Linked DNA regions of Kluyveromyces lactis. The protein of the gene in region 1 interacts with the protein of each later gene in a biochemical or structural test. Links are inferred from orthologs where the notes say so. Each region holds a gene or a part of one and is shown in the gene's direction. Other genes may lie near its edges. The genes, in order: MCM3, ORC2, MCM10, PSF2, CDC28, SLD5 and PSF1.

The links.
Region 2: the proteins of MCM3 (region 1) and ORC2 form a complex in vitro, tested with the Saccharomyces cerevisiae proteins (2 studies listed by BioGRID). The link is inferred for Kluyveromyces lactis from reciprocal best matches to the Saccharomyces cerevisiae genes MCM3 and ORC2.
Region 3: the proteins of MCM3 (region 1) and MCM10 form a complex in vitro, tested with the Saccharomyces cerevisiae proteins (2 studies listed by BioGRID). The link is inferred for Kluyveromyces lactis from reciprocal best matches to the Saccharomyces cerevisiae genes MCM3 and MCM10.
Region 4: the proteins of MCM3 (region 1) and PSF2 form a complex in vitro, tested with the Saccharomyces cerevisiae proteins (4 studies listed by BioGRID). The link is inferred for Kluyveromyces lactis from reciprocal best matches to the Saccharomyces cerevisiae genes MCM3 and PSF2.
Region 5: of the proteins of MCM3 (region 1) and CDC28, one has a biochemical effect on the other in vitro, tested with the Saccharomyces cerevisiae proteins (3 studies listed by BioGRID). The link is inferred for Kluyveromyces lactis from reciprocal best matches to the Saccharomyces cerevisiae genes MCM3 and CDC28.
Region 6: the proteins of MCM3 (region 1) and SLD5 form a complex in vitro, tested with the Saccharomyces cerevisiae proteins (3 studies listed by BioGRID). The link is inferred for Kluyveromyces lactis from reciprocal best matches to the Saccharomyces cerevisiae genes MCM3 and SLD5.
Region 7: the proteins of MCM3 (region 1) and PSF1 form a complex in vitro, tested with the Saccharomyces cerevisiae proteins (4 studies listed by BioGRID). The link is inferred for Kluyveromyces lactis from reciprocal best matches to the Saccharomyces cerevisiae genes MCM3 and PSF1.

The regions. Positions count from the first base shown.
Region 1 is NC_006041.1:1,980,004-1,984,074, forward strand, and holds MCM3 (MCM DNA helicase complex subunit MCM3), read left to right. Parts: upstream 1-1,271; coding exon 1,272-4,067; downstream 4,068-4,071. UniProt on the Saccharomyces cerevisiae protein: Acts as a component of the MCM2-7 complex (MCM complex) which is the putative replicative helicase essential for 'once per cell cycle' DNA replication initiation and elongation in eukaryotic cells.
Region 2 is NC_006042.1:1,707,604-1,711,324, forward strand, and holds ORC2 (origin recognition complex subunit 2), read left to right. Parts: upstream 1-1,430; coding exon 1,431-3,221; downstream 3,222-3,721. Other genes in the region: HEM13 (coproporphyrinogen oxidase), read left to right, coding at 1-268; DNA-directed RNA polymerase III core subunit RPC11, read right to left, coding at 716-1,054; serine/threonine protein kinase AKL1, read left to right, coding at 3,528-3,721. UniProt on the Saccharomyces cerevisiae protein: Component of the origin recognition complex (ORC) that binds origins of replication. It has a role in both chromosomal replication and mating type transcriptional silencing. Binds to the ARS consensus sequence (ACS) of origins of replication.
Region 3 is NC_006037.1:50,765-54,462, reverse strand, and holds MCM10 (Mcm10p), read left to right. Parts: upstream 1-1,381; coding exon 1,382-1,469; intron 1,470-1,552; coding exon 1,553-3,198; downstream 3,199-3,698. Other genes in the region: MLP2 (Mlp2p), read left to right, coding at 1-1,159; KLLA0_A00550g (uncharacterized protein), read right to left, coding at 3,222-3,698. UniProt on the Saccharomyces cerevisiae protein: Required for DNA synthesis. Required for entry into or completion of S phase. Involved in DNA replication and seems to participate in the activation of the pre-replication complex (pre-RC) and in transcription elongation.
Region 4 is NC_006040.1:558,098-560,365, reverse strand, and holds PSF2 (DNA replication protein PSF2), read left to right. Parts: upstream 1-1,162; coding exon 1,163-1,768; downstream 1,769-2,268. Other genes in the region: ARG2 (acetyl-CoA:L-glutamate N-acetyltransferase), read right to left, coding at 1-840. UniProt on the Saccharomyces cerevisiae protein: Functions as part of the GINS complex which plays an essential role in the initiation of DNA replication by binding to DNA replication origins and facilitating the assembly of the DNA replication machinery.
Region 5 is NC_006038.1:854,827-857,449, reverse strand, and holds CDC28 (cyclin-dependent serine/threonine-protein kinase CDC28), read left to right. Parts: upstream 1-1,235; coding exon 1,236-2,123; downstream 2,124-2,623. Other genes in the region: IFA38 (ketoreductase), read left to right, coding at 1-651. UniProt on the Saccharomyces cerevisiae protein: Cyclin-dependent kinase that acts as a master regulator of the mitotic and meiotic cell cycles. Required to drive the G1-S transition. More than 200 substrates have been identified. Substrate specificity is in part regulated by the bound cyclin protein.
Region 6 is NC_006042.1:1,023,715-1,026,356, forward strand, and holds SLD5 (DNA replication protein SLD5), read left to right. Parts: upstream 1-1,263; coding exon 1,264-2,142; downstream 2,143-2,642. Other genes in the region: PAC11 (dynein intermediate chain), read right to left, coding at 1-952; serine/threonine/tyrosine protein kinase RAD53, read right to left, coding at 2,415-2,642. UniProt on the Saccharomyces cerevisiae protein: Required for DNA replication. Functions as part of the GINS complex which plays an essential role in the initiation of DNA replication by binding to DNA replication origins and facilitating the assembly of the DNA replication machinery.
Region 7 is NC_006038.1:616,059-618,465, forward strand, and holds PSF1 (DNA replication protein PSF1), read left to right. Parts: upstream 1-1,271; coding exon 1,272-1,907; downstream 1,908-2,407. Other genes in the region: RAD61 (Rad61p), read right to left, coding at 1-1,013; protein-arginine omega-N methyltransferase HMT1, read left to right, coding at 2,310-2,407. UniProt on the Saccharomyces cerevisiae protein: Required for DNA replication. Functions as part of the GINS complex which plays an essential role in the initiation of DNA replication by binding to DNA replication origins and facilitating the assembly of the DNA replication machinery.

The DNA.
Region 1 (4,071 bases):
ATGAAAAAGACTTGAAATATGATTCCTTTTTTATCCTTGCATGTTTTCACTTGTCCATCTTTCTGTGTTTCCACAAAAGTCGTTTTCCTTCCTGGAACGGTTTTGGTTGCTACTCCCGGTGTTCTTTAGTACGCTATCTAATTCCCCATTTTTTTTCGTCTACTGTTAAGCATCCAATTATATATATTAACTTATATGATATTCTGGGTGTTTTACGTGGGTTTTCAGCAATGGGATGGATTTTGAGTTATAATTGTTGGTTGGAGAACAAGAAACTGTTTTTTCTTTTCTGGAAAACACTCAATCGCTCCTTTCCTTGTCAAGCGTCATTGATGGAAATACTATCAGATACGTTATTCTTTATCACTTTCTCCTTTTAAATCAGCTTTTTTCTCTCTATTCCAGTAATTTTTTTTTTCACTCAATTAAATATCATTATATCCTTAATTCTATTTCTTATATATTTAAATCTTCTTTAACGCTTCCGTTTGTCGTTTTACATTGTCATTGAACCCTGTTAATATGGGGTGTGTGTACTCTTCCGCACTTGCAGACTGCCAGTTACTAAACGGTTGGGAAACCATCCTTGTTTTATTTTTTCAAATTTTGGCTCATCGTCGATAACTTTCAATATCAAAAGCTCAATTGTAGGCAAATATGATTTCGTTAGATTACTTTCTTTAATACCATCTAATGTCCATACTAGGTTCAGAACGTTGGCAAGGGTCTGTAGTTTCTTCTTGCACTGTGAAGCGCGGTATAGTATTTATTATTTACCAATTCACAATATAATGAGTGACATCTTCTGGATCATGTGATATGAACCTAACATCATTTTATCATATAACATGGCAACATGGCCGAGCGGTTAAGGCGAAAGATTAGAAATCTTTTGGGCTCTGCCCGCGCAGGTTCGAGTCCTGCTGTTGTCGTTATTTTTAACCCCTTCTTCCTTTATTTTTTGACGCGTTGCCATTTCTCATTACCCGGAAAATTATTCCTCTTTCTTTTCCAAAAACGGAAAAGATATTGACGAAAACATCAAATCTCATTTCTCTTTGCCGTATTCTGTTGGTAAAATACAGCTGAAACTCGATTCTGACAAAAATAAACTAGAAGAACCATATCAAGAACGTTTCTATCCCAGAACAGCACTGGTGCCAATGAAACATTAATTTTTAGCACCTTCATTTTAATAATATTATTGCATTTATCGCTCCCTGTTTAAAGGACTTTGCTACTGAAAAACACCATAAGTACCGAATTCAATCATGAGTGATGCTATGAATCAAACAAGTGATGCTGTCTTTACAGACAGAATGCGAAGGTTTCAAGAGTTTTTGGATACCCATTCGCATTATACTCGAGAAATAAGATCAATACTCGAGTTTAACAGCAACGTAGTGAAAGAGAAAAAGACGGATGATGATTATTTAAATACTGCAGACAAAGATACGATGGACCATGACACTAATCAATTGCCATTGAGAATAACAGTATCACTTGACGATTTAAGAGAATTTGACAAAACATTTTGGACTGGACTTTTACAAGTACCCTCGTTCTTTTTACCACCAGCGGAGCGTGCTGTTTCGGAGACTGCAATGGCCTTAGATGATAGCCCTCTCGGGTTTCGCGGATTCCAAAATGATCCCAGCAGACAATGGAGACTGTCATTCAAGGGTTCTTTCGGTCCGAATTCTTTATCACCACGTACCTTAAACTCAACACATTTGAATAAATTGATCTCAGTAGAGGGGATTGTAACGAGAACCTCACTTGTGAGGCCAAAACTTCTCAGATCCGTGCATTATGCCCAAACCACAGGCCATCATCATTACCGTGATTATCGTGATGCGACTACAACATTAACCACATCCGTACCAACACCAGCTATTTATCCAGAGGAGGATCAAGAAGGTAATAAGCTGGTCACAGAGTATGGATTTTGTCATTACATGGATCACCAGCGAATCACCGTTCAAGAAATGCCCGAAAAGGCCCCTCCTGGTCAATTACCAAGATCCATTGACGTTATCTTGGATGATGACTTAGTGGATAAGACAAAACCAGGTGATAGAATTAATATTGTTGGTGTATACAAGTCATTAGGTGCAGGTGGTCTAACAGGTGGTTCTAATAACAACGACAAGGGTAACGGTGCTTTATCTGGTTTCAGAACTGTTGTAATTGGTAACACAGTGTACCCTCTACATGCCAGGTCTACAGGTGTGTCCGCCGTTGAAACGCTATCAGATAATGATATTAGAAATATCAATAAGCTATCAATGCATGATAATATTTTCGACACTTTGTCCCAGTCGTTAGCACCATCCATCTATGGCCATGAACACATTAAGAAAGCCATCCTATTAATGCTTATGGGTGGTGTGGAAAAAAATTTACCCAACGGTTCACATCTAAGAGGTGACATAAATATCCTTATGGTTGGTGATCCATCCACCGCTAAATCTCAAATGCTTAGATTTGTGTTGAACACAGCAGCATTAGCTATTGCCACTACGGGTAGAGGTTCCTCTGGTGTCGGTTTGACAGCAGCCGTCACTACTGATAAAGAAACTGGTGAAAGAAGATTAGAAGCAGGTGCGATGGTGTTGGCAGATCGTGGTATCGTTTGTATCGATGAGTTTGACAAGATGTCCGACGTAGATAGAGTTGCTATCCATGAAGTTATGGAACAACAAACAGTAACAATCGCAAAGGCTGGTATACATACAACATTGAATGCTCGTTGTTCAGTTATCGCAGCTGCAAACCCTGTTTTCGGTCAATATGACGTTAACAAAGATCCACATAAAAATATTGCCCTACCGGATTCTCTATTATCTCGTTTCGATTTACTATTTGTGGTTACGGATGATATCAACGACATCAGAGATAGAGCTATCAGTGAACATGTCTTGAGAACACATAGGTACTTACCTCCTGGATATTTGGAAGGTGAACCTGTTAGAGAGCAAATAAATCTATCATTGGCTGTTGGTGAAGATATCGAAAACGAGGAAGAAGATGATGATGAGGACGTAGTTTTCGAAAAATTCAATCCACTTCTACACGCCGGTGCGAAGCTTGCAAAGAACAGAGGTGATAGCAATGGTAGCGAGCTTCCTCAAATTGTTGCGATACCCTTCATCAGAAAATACATTCAGTATGCAAAAGAGAGAATTATTCCTCAATTGACTCAAGAAGCTGTAGACGTTATCATCAAATCATATTCAAATCTAAGAAACGATCAGAACACCAAGAAATCCCCTATCACGGCAAGAACTCTAGAAACTTTAATCAGATTATCCAGTGCTCATGCCAAGGTAAGGCTTTCAAAGAAAGTAGAACTAGAAGATGCAAAGGTAGCAACACAATTACTAAGATTTGCATTACTAGGTGAGGACGGAGCCAACTTCGACGAACAGGAATTTGCCGAAGGCAGAACAACCGAAAAATCTCCAAGAAAGAAGCCAAGAGCTTCTCCAAGGAAGAAGAGAGGGGCCGTTTACAAAGAAGTTGACTCAGAGGATGCAGAAGAGGACCAGGAAATGGCAGAGACTCAACCGGATCCTGCTGACGGTCTGGAATCTACGATGGTACGGTTAGCACCAGAACAAGAGGAAGACCTTCAAAGAAGACTAGAACAAAACTTGAGAGTGAGTCCGAGACGCCAACTATCAGTCGAAAGAAGAGTACTTTCACAAAGCGACCATCAACAACAGGTTCTCCACCACTCCTCGCAATCCTCAACTGGACCCCTTGAAACTGGCTCTCAATTGGAACCGTCTCATATGACCCTTGATTTTATGTCCATCGAAGAGATGGACCAGGGTTCAATCTCAACCGGTAGGTTATCGTCACTCTCAGGTATTGTTGCAAGACTCATGCAATCAGACATTTTCGAGGAAGAATCGTATCCTGTCGCCGCACTTTTCGAAAGAATTAACGAGCAAGTTCCAGAAGAGGAAAAATTCACTGTTGATGAATACGTTGCTGGTCTAAGGATTATGAGCGATAGAAACAATTTAATGGTCGCGGATGGCAAAGTATGGAGAGTATAATCTT
Region 2 (3,721 bases), on another chromosome or scaffold:
CCTCGAAATCATCAAAAGAAGAAAGGATATGCCTTACACTGAAGAAGAAAGACAATGGCAACAAATTAGACGTGGCAGATACGTTGAATTCAACCTAGTCCTTGACAGAGGTACTCAATTCGGTTTAAGAACTCCAGGATCCCGTGTCGAAAGTATTTTGATGTCTTTGCCTGTGACTGCTTCGTGGTTGTATGACCATCATCCTGAAGTAGACTCTAGAGAAGATAAATTACTCCAAGTATTGAAGAACCCTGTTGAATGGGTTTGAATGCCTTTATTTATGTAACGTCTCATGTATTTAATTCTTAGTTTCTAATGATCTTAATTTCTTACGCTTCAAAAACCAAGTCGGTCGTTAGTACCATACAGCGTTGCACGAAATGGTTCTGTCAGGCCGTCGACAATACTTTTATTTTGTCTTGTTCAATCTATTTGTAGATTTATACATTATATTACACTTTGATTCAGAAGAAGTTTCATCAAACCCTAACAACTTCCTTTTGCGAGCCTAATGAAAGCGTGATCTACCTTTCATCATTTGAAAGATTAAGCATGCGTTTTTAGCTGGGCGAGAGACAAATGGCAGCGATTAAAGCCGAACATTTATCTTCTTGTCAGTTTTTTGCTCTAAGCGATGTAATAACTGCTAAGAAGATCTATAATATTTTGTTTGATGCGTATCGAAATCAAAGTAAATTTCAAAAATACACAATCTCTAGTTCTCTCTCCATTTATGACCACAGTTAACACATTTGTAGAAAGTTGTCATAGGTTCATCTGCAGATCTGATTTGCAACTGGAAGAAGTAAGCTCTTTCACCCGCACATTGGTCATGGTTCGGACATTGTGCTGCTGTCTGGTCAACATTATCCCATGCACCTTCTCCACCTAAGACATCATCAACTTCTTTCCTAGGGAGGTTCTTTCTATCGTATACCTCTATCCCATCAATTAAAAACTGGTATGGGCATGATCCGCATGCTAGTTTATACAGACCTGAATCAGCTTTTGATACCAACAACATGTTATTGCATAATGGGCAAAACGAAAGCATCCTACAACTTAATTCTCAATGTCAGACTCCTCAAACACGATACGTTAACGCACCGTTACCTGCCCATAAGCTCCTTCAACACGTTATCGCATACACTCTAAAATGAACCTCATCGCTATAATTATTGAGAGTAGGTTTTAATTCTTTCCTCATCTCATATAGAAATTTTTCAGAAAAAAAAAAGTAGAGCTTCATGCCTTTAACTTTGAATCGATATTTATGTTGACATTTAAGGTTTGTATGTCAAATATAGTGTATAGGGTTAATACCTGTGGGCGAGGTTTGATAGAAGAACAACTCCCACATTTATAAGTTAGTTTCCATTCTCTAGACTTTAGAGTATTTGATTATCTTGGAGCGGTTAAACCTTGAAAACATGACGAAGAAAGAGTGCAGTGATAATGAGGAAGAAGAAGAAGACATTGATATTGTAAATCACCAAGACATTTTCATATCACCTTCCAAAGTAAGATATCAGTCACCGAAGAAACTTAAAAGTTTTGATTTTCTTTCGCCTTCCAAAACGGTACGACCTAAGTCACCCAAACGATCGCTCACATTAGAGTCTGTTAGCATTGAGACTGAATATAAAGATGAAGAGAGTAGGAAGCACTCATCGACAGATACTGCAACTCCCAGGCGAAGGCAAAGGAAAACAACCAAGAGGGTGAAGTTGGAGGAAGATGATGCCATTGACTATGTGTCAGATACTAATGAATTGATACACAATGACGACGAATACGAGGATCTAAAAATTAAAATAGATTCTAATGAAAGCTCACCTAATAAGTCGCCTAGGAGAAAACTTACATTTAATGCAGAACCATCACCCCAAAGAAAGACTACCAGAAATACAGTTCAAAGGAATAAAATTATAGACGATGATCTTGCATACGACGATATCCAGCAGTATAAGCATCTGAAATTGAACTTGAACCCTAATTTCAAACCGACTAAGTTGCCAAAGAGCGATAATAATGACCAAACATCTGATGAACAATCTCAAATATATTTTTTCGATGGTTTCGAAGGTTTCATAGATCAGACCAAGATCCTAAAAACTGATAAAAGATCCAAGAACTCGATGTCCTCGGCACCAAGTATTTCCAGAGATGAATATAACATTCTTTCTCAACTTTCCAATGATATATTCCATCGTTCATCGACAAAGGCAGTACAAAAAATACATGAAACACTCTTTCAGCAGTTTACTTTCGAGTTACTGCAGGGATTTACGTTATTATTCTATGGTATCGGATCGAAGAAGAAATTCCTCGAATCATTTGCATTCAACTTTCTTTCTATGAAGATCGCCTTGTTGCAAAACCCGGATATTCAAAAAGATGATCCATGTATACCGGTTTTTGTAATGAACGGGTACACCACTCTCTCTAAGAACATCTTTTTGGATATATTCAAAATCTTAGTAGAGGGCGAGACTATTGATGATCAAGGTCAATCAAATTATTGGGATAATCGAATTGACTTGCAAATGGACAGGCTTTCAAAATATTTCAAGAAAAGACCTCCTACGGTGAAGATGATTCTTTTGATACATAACTTGGACGGTCCGTCATTCCGGAGAGAACATTTTCAAACCAGAATGAGTATTCTTGCACAAATCAAACAAATCTGTGTCGTAGCAAGTGTCGACCATATACAAGCTCCTTTCCTTTGGGATCATTTCAGAGCTCAATCATTCAACTTTGTTTACCACGATATCACAAATTTTGAGCCGTACATCGTAGAAACAGTACAAACCGATAATGCTATCGACTTTTCCAAAGATTCAGGTACCTTGTTTAATGCGAACGGTGCTAAATACGTACTAGAATCCCTGACGGACAATTCTAAAAGAATGTACAAAATTCTTCTTCAACTTCTAATGGGACAGATTAATGCCAAGAACGAGTCAAAGCCTCGTGCAAAATCTAGTTCCTTAAACAAAATCACACCTGGGATTGAGTTCTCTGAACTTTTTAAAACATGCACCGAACAGTTCGTAGTCTCGAGCGAAATGGGTCTTCGAACCATCCTATCAGAGTTCATTGATCATAAGATGGCTGTCAATACGAAAAATAAAATGGGTAAAGAGATCATAAATGTTAAATATAGCTATGGAGACATGGAAAAAATGATAACTGAGATAGATTCCATGCTGCAATAAATAATCCTTATTTAAATTCACCATACATATTTATATTTATACTCTAGCGTTCTGATCTCATTTGGCTTTACCATACCGTCCACCAGGGTTCATTTCTTTTACATTTCCTATGCTGAATCAGTTCTGCTTCCGAAAATCACTGAAAAATAAGTTTTCGATAAAGATTACTATTTTAATGAACTTAAGGTTATATGGTTAAGAAGAAAAGGGAGAATTCGATAAAGAAGAGTATCGTATACACTAACAGCAAGTGTTGGAAGCACTGTTGGTAGTGGTATTTAATTCAGCAGTCCGCTAAATATTGTGATGAGCAAATCAGACACTATATCCAGACCGAATTCGGTGGCACATACTGCGGCGACCTCTGCTATGATTCCGAATTCGCATCTGTTGAGTCCCAACACTCAGGTTGTTGTTGGCACTCATAGGTGTGAAATTTTGGAGCATTTAGCTGAGGGTGGGTTCGCAAATATATACAAGGTAAAATTCTTGGAATTGAC
Region 3 (3,698 bases), on another chromosome or scaffold:
TCAAGTGGAGGCCGATTTAGGAAAATGTAAGACCGCTTGCAAAGAGTTAGAAGAAAGATTACAAGTGGTAACGCAAGAAGCAGAAACAAAGGAACAGACTTTTAACTCTCAATTATCTAAATTGCAGGAAGATCTACATTCTATTCAGGTTCAAATGGAAAATGCTTCCAAGACCGAACAGAATAATGCAGATTCAGATGAAAAAATAAAATCGTTGACTGAGACTGTGGAAATGTTAAATAGTAAAATACAGGAGCTTGAAGCCGAAGCCTCCAACGCTCAAAAAATAGTAGCTGAACATCATACGCCAGTTATCAACGAAGACACGAAGTCAATAGTGGATAATTTGAAAACAGAATTTGAAGCTGAAAAAGAACAATTAATAAAAGATAAAGAAAAAGAATTGAGGAGCAAGTTTGAGGCAGAAAAAGAATCTGCTTGGAATTCCAGAGAGGAAGAGCTCCGGAAACAGTTTGAAGAAAGAGAAAAGAGAATTCGTGAAGAGTGCGAAAAGACTACTGTCCAGTCTCCTTCGCAGCCTACCTTGGATATAGACATCGATGCTTTGAAGAATGAATGGGAAAAAGAATATGAGAAGCAGACTCTGGAAAAAATTAAATTAGCAGAAGAAGCCCTCAAGAAACGGATCAGGTTACCTACTCAACAAAAGATTGATAAAATAGTTGAGGCAAGAAAAGCTGTTTTAGAAGAGTCCTTTGAAGAAAAGGTAAACGAAAAGGCCCAAAAATTGGCAGGAGAGATCGGAAATGATGCCATTACTCTAGAAAAGCATCGTGCAGAATTGAATGCACTTAAGGATTCCATGCGTAAGCAATTTGAAGCAGATTTGGCAGAAATAAAACAAAAATCTTTCGAAGAAGGGAAACAGCAAGTTTCCTTGAAATTGAAATTTTTGGAAAGCAAGATCAGGAATTTAGAACAACAAAAGTCCACAATTAAACCTGTAGAGAATGACACTTCTAATATGAGTGCAGCATTCCAGGCCCCTGTATTTGGCTCTCATTCAACATTCACTAGTCCCTTCTCAACGTCAGAAATTTCTCCTAATAAGAGACCCATAGACGACACCGCAACAGAACAGCCTGAGAAACGTCACAAAGAGCCTGAAAGTGATACTGAGGATGGTCAGGAAGCCTGATTCTCCAGACGATTTTATGGCTGTTAATATTACCGAAGTTCTATTTAATTTTTTTCTATTATGTATCATTATTTGACCATTCGTTTTCAACATGTAAAAAATACTAGTATTACTTTCCACAGATATTCAAACGAGAAAACAAAATAATGACATCCCACAAGTAAAGAATGAACGAGAATAGTTACAGAAGCTATCGAGTATAGGTAACAGTGAAGATGCATCATGTCATATGATCTAACTGACCCGAGAGAAATTACGGCGTTCGACCCGTACGAGGAATTATCTGATGATGAATCTGAAATCGAAAGAGGTATGTTCTAATAATAATGGTTACCGAGATCAATGACATTAGAATATCCTACTAACATATTATAACCAATCATTAAATCAAAGTGAAACGAAGAATTGTTGAAATTGACACTGAGAAACGAGATTTAACTAACCGGCTGTTGGAACTAGAGAAGAAGAGAAACCTCAAAGACCCTAATTTCGATTCTATCGACGTTCCAGAGTCTCCTAAGAAATCAGATAATGCTACAAAAGGAATAGAGGATATCAAACATATTGCGCCAGTAGCAGATATAGAGGAAGCTACATTTAATGTTAATGAGGATTATGTAAGGGAAAAGGTCAAAAAGTTGGGTACCACTTCTTACTTTACTGAAAAACTTCGCTCCATCAATACAAATGAACATGAAGCGATTAAAAGGAAGAAAGAATTATTGGCACATCGAGTTTACACATTCAATGGCGACATGTTCGATGAATATGAACCAATTACTGTTGATGAAAAAGATGATTTGAGTGGTCTGGTTATAGACAGAAGGTATGTACCGTTGGCCGTACTTAGGAAACATACTAAAAACATAAAAGTGCTTCGACTTCCAAAGCTCTTCAGTAAGGTGAGAGCCCCTAAGTTCTCTGAACCTGATTATCCCAATTGGTTGGTATTGGGTATCATCTCAAAGAAAACTGAACCAAGAATGACAAATTCTGTGAAACCGGTGAAATTCTTCAGCCTAACCATAAGTGATTTCCAATTTGAACTGAATGTTATTTTCTTTGGGAAAAGTATAGTTGAAAAGTATTACAAACTAAGATTAGGTGATTTGATTGCTATACTTAACCCTGAAATAATGCCTTCCAAGAAACTGGAAGCGGGAGCAAGCCCTAGTTACGCTACATTTTCGTTAAAAGTTAGTAAAGACACCAATAATATACTGGAACTAGGTCACAGTAAGGAATTCGGATTGTGCCAATTTTACATGAAGAACAAAGGCAAGCTATGTGGTGCGCCAATAAACAAATTGCATGATAACTACTGTGCATATCATAAAGAGGCAAAAATGAGGCAAAACAGTTCTAGAAGAGTTGAAATTAGTAGCTCTGTGGCAATGAGAGCGCCAGTTGTCAAAGGATATCAACAGACTATTGTAAAATCACAACACAATAATGGTAAAACATCCATAAGATATCAACAAAATCCTGATAAACCGTTTGTACGAGAACCGGCAGCTGCAGAGACCAACAGATTCCTCTTCAGTTCTGCAAATGCCTCTACCGCGTTTTTCGATGACGACTACGAAAATCCTGACATACTGGCCAACCTTGATAACAAAAGACGCAAAATTCAAGAACTCAGAAACAATCGAAACTTGGAGAAAAAGTTAAAGGGTCTATCCGACAAATTGTTGTCAAAGAAGGAAGACCGAGTCAATCAAGAAGCAAAAAAGACTGCGACGTTGAGCATGTTCCAACATGGTTTAGCGAACCAAATTGGTTATGACCCAACAAAAGGGAAAGCGTCTTTAGAGATGCTTGAATATTCTACAGAGAATAAGGCGCCAAAGAATGATAAACAGCTGGCGATAACGGATATTTGCAATATAAAGAAAGATAATGTTAGCCTGAAACCTTCGAAGAAACAATTGAAAGAGAAAATTGAAAAGAGAAACGCTATCTTCAATGAAATAATGAAAGGCAGCCAAGAGCGGCTCGATAAAGATGAAGGCTCAAGTGATGATTTGGAAATTATATAGACAATAATGTAAGGTTTAATATATTATAAAGAATGTAGTACTTTTAATGATGGCTCCGTACAAGTCTCAATTCTTATCGTGGATGGTGGAGTATTCTTTCCCTCTAACTCTAGTAAGTTAAGAAGTTGCCCATCACAGCAAACTTCAAAGTTGCTCTTTTGTGACGGATCGTCTAGTACTTCGACGTTAAAACAAAATGGCAGTGGTCTGTAAAACGTTCCATTCTGTAAGATGTTTGAATGCTTCGTATTTGAATAACCCATAAATACCCTTTTCTGGAATTCTACTCTATCCAGAGAAGACTGGTATGCCAATACATGTAGTTGTGATTCCAATGGATCAGAATCGGGAGATGGCATATAAGTTGGCTCCAGATTTGTGGTATTTATTAACGCAAAATAACTAAAAGATCCTTCCAGAATATCGGGAATAGAGACGCGAGATTCGAGCTTGTATTCTCTTAAAATTCGCTGGCTAGCAACTCTAAACCTTTCAATGCC
Region 4 (2,268 bases), on another chromosome or scaffold:
TAGCCCAGTAGACGAATGTGGTAGAACTGATAGCGTTTTATTCATGATTTCAAGGTCTTCCATATGACATTTCAGTTGATCGCTGTTACTAAGAATCTTATCCTGATTCAAAAATAATTGTAGAGATTCTACCAAATTCTTCTCAGTATTATCCACTTGAATAGATTCTAGTTTCTCCAATTGATTTTGATAACTGTTTCTCAATTCTCGATATTCTTGTGACAAATTTACAAAGACATGGCTGTTTGTATGTCTTTCCACAGACGGCAATCCACCATACTTGCTGATAAGGAACACCTTGTCGATATTTATGGGCAAGTTACTCACTAGAGATGATAAGAATCGAGATGGATCGCCAGCCAATTTCTTAAAAGCTTCCTTCTCATGGTACTGATATGGCTCAATAATCGGAATAATATGCGGGTTCAAAATCGGAAGTTTTACGTCAATTGAGCCACGTTCACCGATGGTAATGGGATCTAATACGATTATTGACTTCAGACTCTGATCATGCAAATGATTGTCCAAACGCTGACTTTGGTATGATATGTCTTGGCATAGCGGGTCTACTATTAAAATTGGTCTTAGTCCGAGTGTTTGAATTCTTGACACAGTCTTGCTAAACCCACTAAGTACGTTATCTGAATATTCGGACAAATGTCTCAAAAATACAAGACAGTAGTGATGATTATTCTCATCGGTATATTTGTTCAAATAGTCTTTCGCTTCCCTTTTAGTCACTGTAGAATTCAAAACGCTCATAACCAAACTCCTGCCATGAGCATTAGGTTGATGGTATCTGACCTCTGTGGTCAAACACCTAATCCATGTTTTGATCATAGCACTAGCCCACAAAATGTGCCTTTGGACGTTATATGATGAGATCAAACCATTTATCTGCAAATATGGAAAGTGTATAAAACCATCATTTATTCTAGTTTTATCAATGAGTCAAGTCATCAGAGAAAACTGCCAGTTTAAAGCTTTAGTTAGTCTTTCCTGTTTTTGTTTTTCCTGTGCTGGATTTCAATGTCAAGATTGAACATGGAAAAATAATTGAAGCACAGATATCGATTGGTCATAGTCGCGCATTGAAAGCACTATGTAAGGAAGTAGTGAGCTTGAGGACACTATAGATTAGCAACTCCAACCTGAAATAGAGATGGCACTACCGAGAGATCTATCAATAGGATTTTCTCCCCAAGAGATACAGTTTTTAATTGAAAATGAACCGACACGAATTATGCCCAGAATCACTACGAGGAAGACCAAAAAACAGCTCGCGAAGGATCCTGGCGCCCAATGGTCACTGATCACATGCGATGATTCTACGGTAAATAACATGGTTGCAATGAATAGTTGCGAAGTCACGTTATGGCTGGCTTTACTGTTAAAACAACAGGGAAAGTGTAACGTCGTGGTACCCAGTTGGCTGACGTTACAACAGCTGGAGAAGTATTTAGATTTTGAATTGAAAAACCCATCACGATTCTCCAATCTACCCTGGAATTGGCTAGTGGTATCGTCACTGCTGTTTGCCAGATGCAGCGATGATTTTCAGGATCCAGTTCATCTACTGAGATCTAAGGTCCAAGATCTGCGAGAAGTTCGTTTGGGAAAAGTCAACAAGGGTTTGCAGTACCTGAACGAATCGCATTTACAGCTAGAGAACTTGTCCTTGATGGAAATCAATGAGATGAGACCCTATGCGTGTGGTATCATGGACAAACTGAGGACAATTCATGACTCCAGTAATGACACCACGTGATCAATAATATAATAACCTTTTCCCATTGAATCCAAAATTCCATTCACGAGGTTTCCACCAGTCCCTCCCCTTAATCCAACCTACATGGTTATATGATAACACAGTTGACCATAATCACTAGAAAAGGTCGGGTTACCATGTAAGTACAGGCCTATCAAATAACACATATATTACATACCCTACATGTACCCGCTTCACAGTTTGTAGTAATTCGAAACAACTGATCCATCCCGAACATTCACGCACTGCTTAGTTCTTATTTACGTTTGTGTCGCAAACATGCCTCGCGGGCATGCCTTGCGTGTGCACCCCACGTTCTTGCTTCATCATATTTGTTGTTCTTCAGGCTATTTCGGTTCCTTGCATTGAACTACGGGTATAACTTACAGAAAACGACACAAGGGGGGAACACAAACACGGAAACGAATCACGTTTCTTCAATATTACGTTGGGAAAAGAATTTACCGTAGATAGAAAACAATAACAGTAGAAATTGAGCA
Region 5 (2,623 bases), on another chromosome or scaffold:
AACTATACTTTAATTAGAGAAGTTGCGTCGGGTTTACCTGTAACTGTTTTGATCAATAATGTTGGTAAGTCTCATTCGATTCCAGTACCATTTGATCAAACCGAAGAATCTGAATTGAGAGATATAATTACTATCAACAATACTGCGACATTAATGATCACACAAACTTTGTTACCACAATTAAAAGCAAGCGTTAAGACGTTGAAATGTCGTGGTCTAATCTTGACAATGGGTTCCTTTGGTGGTCTGCTACCTACCCCATTCTTAGCTACATACAGTGGTTCCAAGGCATTTTTACAAAGTTGGTCTAACGCCCTAGCTGGTGAATTATCTAGCGATTCTATCGATGTTGAGTTAGTGTTATCTTACTTAGTTACCAGTGCAATGTCTAAGATTAGAAGATCAAGTGCATTGATCCCTTCTCCAAAGGCTTTCGTGAGATCCACATTGAACTCCATTGGCAAACGCTGTGGTGCCCAAGAGCGTTTTGCAACCTCCACGCCGTATTGGTCTCATGCATTATACCATTTCATTATCGAGAACACCGTCGGTGTGTACTCTAAGATTGCTAATTCAATTAATTATTCCTTCCACTTGAGTATCAGAAAGAGAGCTTTGAAAAAGGCTGAAAGACAAGCCAAGAAGCAATAAAAAGAGTTGTCTCCAAAATATTAGTTTGTTTTGATATAAGGAGCAGGTTTAAATAGATTTGTTGTAGTAACGTTTGATTATTGTGCGATATCCTGACAAAGAAACCATAATTATTGGAACCTGTAGAAGTGTATAAATTTTGTAAGTTTCTGTGTTAAATATTCTGTAACATGAAAGTATACTGAAAAAACCGTTCAGCAATGCCCTATACGTTACAAAATCCCTGCGTTCATCTTACAATTCCAAACCTTTCTTTCTTTTCAATTACACGTAAAGCTCATTATTGACCTTCTGACCTTAAAACGAAGAAAATACAAACACAATTTCGAAGATATTAATATAGTATTAAGGCAACGTTAATCTGTTAGAAAGAAGGCACATACCAGGGTAATATTAGAGCCATAAGCACTGAGTGATAGTTGATTATTTGATTTGACGCATATTTATACGCGAGCACAGCAAATTTTACTTGATCTGAATATACTGCTGCAAAAGAGAACAATCTGTACCTACCTAAAACTTGAAAGTAGTAAAGAAACAGAACAGCAAGGTCGCATCATACAAGAAATCCACCCTATACCAGGATGTCCGAATTAACAAACTACAAGAGACTTGAGAAAGTCGGAGAAGGTACTTATGGTGTTGTTTACAAAGCGGTTGATTTGCGTCACCAGAATCGAGTGGTAGCAATGAAAAAGATCAGATTAGAATCTGAAGACGAAGGTGTTCCCAGTACTGCGATACGTGAGATTTCATTATTGAAGGAACTGAAGGATGACAACATTGTCAGATTATATGACATCGTGCACTCGGACGCGCACAAGTTATATCTAGTGTTCGAATTTTTGGATCTTGATTTGAAAAGATACATGGAATCGATCCCCAAGGACCAGCCATTGGGAGGCAACATTATAAAGAAGTTTATGATGCAATTGTGCAAGGGAATTGCTTATTGCCATGCTCATAGGATCATACATCGTGATTTGAAGCCGCAGAATCTATTGATCAACAGAGATGGGAACTTGAAGTTGGGAGATTTCGGCCTTGCACGTGCATTCGGTGTCCCCTTGAGAGCGTACACCCATGAGATCGTCACTTTATGGTATAGGGCACCAGAAGTGTTATTAGGTGGGAAACAGTACAGTACAGGGGTCGATGTATGGTCCATTGGCTGTATATTTGCCGAGATGTGCAACAGGAAACCGTTATTCAGCGGAGACAGTGAAATTGATCAGATCTTCAAGATATTCCGAGTGTTAGGCACACCAAACGAGAGAACATGGCCGGATATTATTTATCTACCGGATTTCAAGACTACATTCCCTAAATGGAACCGTCGTAATTTATCCGAGGTAATTCCATCGCTAGATGCAAACGGTATCGATCTCTTGGACAAATTGATCACCTACGATCCAATCCACCGCATTAGCGCCAAAAGAGCAGTACAACACCCGTACTTCAAGGAGGAGTGAGAGTGTTGGTGACAGGAGGCGCGTATATTCATGTATATGATATATAATAAAAACAATACCAGTCACGTGTATTCACGTGACTTATATTACCCGGAACTCCACATTCCATTTCTTTTTGTCCCATCCAACAGCCCTTCGAGAGATGCTGCAAACATACCACAAAAACAAAAAAAAAACGGGCCTTGATTTCCTTGCCTGTGCCACAGCAATGCGCCCAAAAAGAAAGAACTAAGAGCAAGAAAAACCGAAGCAAATTGAAACCCGCCCCCCTCCCCTAGGCCTGGGGCTCTTCGTTAACGTTACGCCATTGCTAGTTTGGCTGAACGCAAATCTACCTAGTCACCTATCCTCGACATCCCCTCTCTATCGCTAATATGTCTGTCCATTATTCCGACCGAATCCCTGAAGAAATTAAAGACGAGGCCTGGTAAGAGACAGCTCAATTGACGTAATGTCTCTCAACTCAACCCATACCTTCTCTCTCTCTATTCACATCCCCC
Region 6 (2,642 bases), on another chromosome or scaffold:
TGCTGGCCGCCAGGATGCTATGGTCATTGAATTTTGGAATTATAATTGAAAGTACCGGATAGTGATGATAATTAGTGGAAACAATATTTCTTTCCACCTGAAAGCTATTATTTATTTTGACTGTTCGCAGTTCATATAAGATGAGTTTTCCTGTATAGCAAGAAAGAACGACGGAGGTAATCTTAGAATTAGGATTATCAATAAACTTGCTCCGTACAACATTCTGACCTTGGAATAAAACTGTATCAAGTACCTCACCAGAAGAGACGTGTGTGATTTGAACTAAAGAGCTTTTCACGTATTTGGTTACAAGATGAATCACAGTAACCAGTAAATTATCTAAGACGTCACTGGAAATGACCCTTGCTTCAGAAGTTGAATCAATGGCAACTTTTGGTGAAATTGATAAATACATGCTTATTTTCCCATCACCAGCGATTTGATGAGAAGATGACTTGAGCGCAGCCGCTTCTATAGTCTCCTGTAGTGAAAATGTTTCTTTCTTCAACGTTGCGTAGTCTTCCGCTGAAACGACATTTCCGAAATCAAACACATCCTTTTCAACAACTTCTTTATCCTCCTTGGTCTCTGTAATATCTGAAGTCGATGCTTGCTGTTCTATAAGATCTTGGGAAGGTAGATGTCCATCTTCCATAATTTCATGTTTCCCGTCATATTCATCTGTCTGTATTCCGATATCATATGTTATCACAGCCTCCTTAACAGCGCTCAATTCAAACTCATTTACATCATCTGTTTGCACTGAGATCTCAACAGTTTTTACTTCTTTCTTGACTTCAGATTCGTTGTTATTTATGGAATTGGTGATATGGGAAATGAACGGAAGGGTACAATCTGCTATCTCTTCATGTTTCGAATCAATTTTTTTCCTTTGCAGCTGAAGAGCCTCTATTTTCTGCTTCATCAACTGTAAGCGCTCATTCTTGTCCATATTTCTGGGTATATTCCCCCTGAGGTTGGTGTTGCTGATGAGCGCTTCTTCACTGACGCGTTTTATCTTGCTTCATGTATGGATTTGTTAAGCGTAAACAAAAGATGATAAATAAGATTTGAGTATTATCAAAAATACGATGTTACAGTAAGTTGGATGAATTTCACAATAGGTTGGAGGATAACACATTGCAAGTAAGTCCTTCTTGTCTGAATACACCTTTACAGCAATTATAAAAGCCACCCCGGTGTACTATCCGAACACTTCCTCCGCTTTGAGTCCTGGTGGTAGGATCATATTTCTTTAGTACAATGAGCATTGATATTGACGACATTCTAGCTGAGCTGGATAGGGACACTACAGCTGTTGAACAAAATGCTTCTTCATACCCAGACCAAAGCGATCGAACTCAAGGCAATGATGTCTCTCAGATAAGACCAGCAGATAAGGCGGTTGACCCTGTGGCTCCCACACAGTTTAACAAAATTGACGACTATCAAAAGCTAATTACACATTGGAAGAATGAACGTATGAGTCCGGAGCTGCTTCCATATCCACATCATCTCATGACTAGGACATTAATAAGGATTCAAGAAAGAATTGAACTAATAGAAACACTATCAATGGGATACTTAGAAGATAATCAAGAGTTAACTGTCGATTCAAAGCTACCACTTTTATGCATGGAAGCAGAACTTGAGAGATTGAAGTTCCTAGTTCGATCTTTCATCAGATGCCGGTTAAGCAAAATTGACAAATACAGCATTTACCTAAGACAACAATCCGAACTACCCAATAATGCGGGCCTCAGCAGACTAGATTTATTGATGTCCAAAGAAGAGGTGAAGTACCATATGAAGCATTCTGACATATTACTAAAACTGTTTAACAACGCAGTACTTAAGCACTTACCAGAAGAACTGCAAGCCGTTAACGATACTGAGGGTTCCATCAGTATGATTGATGAACCCGATTGGAATAAAACTGTATTTATACTAGTTTGTGGTGGGGTAGTTGACGAAAGTGGTATTGATTCGAAATTAACGACCGATGATGATGGAAAACACTGTTACTCAGTGATTATTGAAGATTTAAATGAAGAAATTTACTTATTAATCGGGGCAGTATACGTAATACGTTATAGTGTAATACGAGATCTCATGACTGAGGGACGAGTAGTTTTAATATAATGAAAATTCTGAACAGTATTACTGAACCTATGACTCTTCGAAAAATATAGGTTTGTAACGAATGTTTGCCAGCAATAATTTCTCAACAATGTTATTGCGAACACAGCATGTTTTCTACCTAGTGTTATTGACTGCTGGTCTATAGTGCTTTTGAACCAATTTGTATTAGTATTACATCAATTAACGTTGAAAAGTCTATCTAGCATACTCAAAGTGTACCTATTTTTCATATTTACTGTATGCAAAACCCATCCGGCAAGCATATGATCAGCTCAGAGAAATCCTTCAATATCTGGTTTCTGGGCTTGGGCAAGCTTAGCCCTTTTGGTTGTCTGCGGTTGAGATTGAGATAACGACACTGAATGTATTCTTTTCAATCCTGTAGTCGAGTTCATCTCAACGACAGAATCTAATTCCTCGATATTTTGCGAGTTGGCATCTATGTTACTGGAAGAGGACTGGTTTATATTAGATTTGGCATGTTGTGATGATCTAGACTT
Region 7 (2,407 bases), on another chromosome or scaffold:
TTTTCTGTAAGAGAGGAACAAGTCATTAGGAGAGGTGATAACTGTTGCCATTGAGGGGCACTTCGCGGCAGTGGTACTAAATTAGCAATCCAAAGTTGTAAATAACTCATGACATTGTTCTCAGGGTTAATTTGCTGCAAAAACCAGTTCCATACTTCATTGCTTTTATACTTTTGAGTATAACTTGTCAACTCTGTATTGTTGAGTAATAGTAAACAACAGCTAATCAGTTTTACGACAAATAACTTTTCATCACTAGTAGTGAATGGTAAGAAATCCAGATCATCTTCGAACTTAAGCCCTTCTCCGAGTGTTTTTAATTGATTAACGTGAATGACGGAATTGGAATCATTAAAAGAAGTATTGTGATGTTGAGCATCCAAAATACCTTCATTATTTTCATCATCCTCATCGACATTTGATGCTTCTTCTTGTAGCTCTTCATCACTTTGAAACTCTTTTTTCAATAATGTACGTGTTCTTCCGTATCTCACCTGGCTCACTGCTGAAGTGGAGACCACTTTAAGACATTGAATTTGGCTATAAGTCGATATTACATCGTCGGAGTCTTTCAATGACGAAATCATCGAGGAGATACTGTCAATTGTACTTTGAAACTCATGAATCTCAGAATCATTATCAACAGCTTCTTCAACATCTTTCATATCGTCATTGTCGACTGTTATTCGTTTATGAAGCCTTGTCACTTTACGTTTCTTCTTCATAGATGTCGACCCCATACCATCCAAAATATCGAATGGATCAGCTTCAATTGTCTTTGAATCACGGTTTTCAAATGACTCGTATTTATGAGAGGAAGACACATACTCTTCTCTGACAGGAGCCATGGGAGAAGTCTCATAAGTTCTATCTAAATCTGTTGATAAACTTGTTTCTTCCTCGTCAGTTGAAGTGAAATTGTCCTCATCGCTTAACTCATTGTCTTTTTTATTCAAATGTCGCCTCGCCAAGGCTTGAAATTTCCCATAGTGACCATAAACTCTCGTCTTCATTTATCAGAACCTCCCAATGGGCTTTGTTGGTTTGCTTCCCCTTGTTTTCTTTGTTGTAATTTGTTCGCGTCTAAACAGTATCGTTTCACGTTAAAGTCCTTAAATTTTACGTGTTTTCCTCAAAGCGATTTCAATCTAGAGAAGAGAAAAGCTATGAACAACTTTTACAGAGATAACACAGAGGGAAAAGAACGTGCTAAAAGACCTGGAACTGGATTCAAGTCATTGGTTTTGATTATCATTGCCATAGTACCGAAAATGTACGGAGATCTCGCTAACAAGTTGATACTAGAAGCAAAGAGAACGCAACAGTTATCTCAAGCTGGATTCAACAAACAGCAATTACCAGTATATCAAGACGAGCTAGTCCGTGGCATCCTGAAAGAGGTTGGATCCCTCAAGAAGAACGTGGATTACCTACGAGAACAGCAGCTTACTGATCAGGATAACAAAGTCGCTCAATGCCAGTACGTCGTTGCTATGCTTTCGATGGAAAGAAACAAAAGATGTCTATTAGCATACCAAAAGATGAGAAGTGAGATGCTAGACTCAATGGTTTGGGATAACAACGGGATGGAATTTTCTTCTGCCATATCAAACCACCCGAATCTATCATCGTTTGATTCCTCTGTTTTATCACATGCAGAACAAGAGTATCTCAAAGAGTATGCACAACTACTTACCGAATTGAAATCGGGAGAACTCTCAGAAATCGATTTGACTGGGATGTTACAACCGCCGAGCGATGTGTTCATCGACGTACGAGTATTGAAAGATGCAGGACAAATAGAAACAGAGTACGGTGTATTCAACCTGATTAAAGATTCCCAATTTTTCGTCAGACAATCCGACGTCGAAAGACTTATACAACAAGGATATCTGCAGAAGATATAGCAAGGCAGCTTTTTTCGCCGAATTCTGCACCTTTCATTGCAATTCTGTAGATATCATTGCTGGTGATATTGCTGATGCAACCGTTCCAAATGCAACTAACTAGCTTTACCTCACTTTCACTATGGGGAATGCACGATTTCTTTTTGGATTTCTTTTTCTTGCAGCTCATCGCCTTCAAAAATTTTTCAGTTTTGTATTTAAGGCAACGAGGCATAAGTAACAGAACAGTACTTGATCTGGAACCAACTTGTTAGAACGGTTATTGGTTTGATTGCATTGAGTATAGTGTACAGCTTATTGGGATATAATATTTGTCACCATACATATACCAAGACTTGTGTTTCATCTTTAGTCTAATTGTTGAGCATATCTTTCCTAATTGTAAAGCTAATAAAATAAAGGATGTCCAAGACTGATGTCACTGATTCTGCTACGCAGAAAAAAGAATTGAACGAGTATGAACAACACTATTTCACCTCTTATGACCATTTCGGTATTCA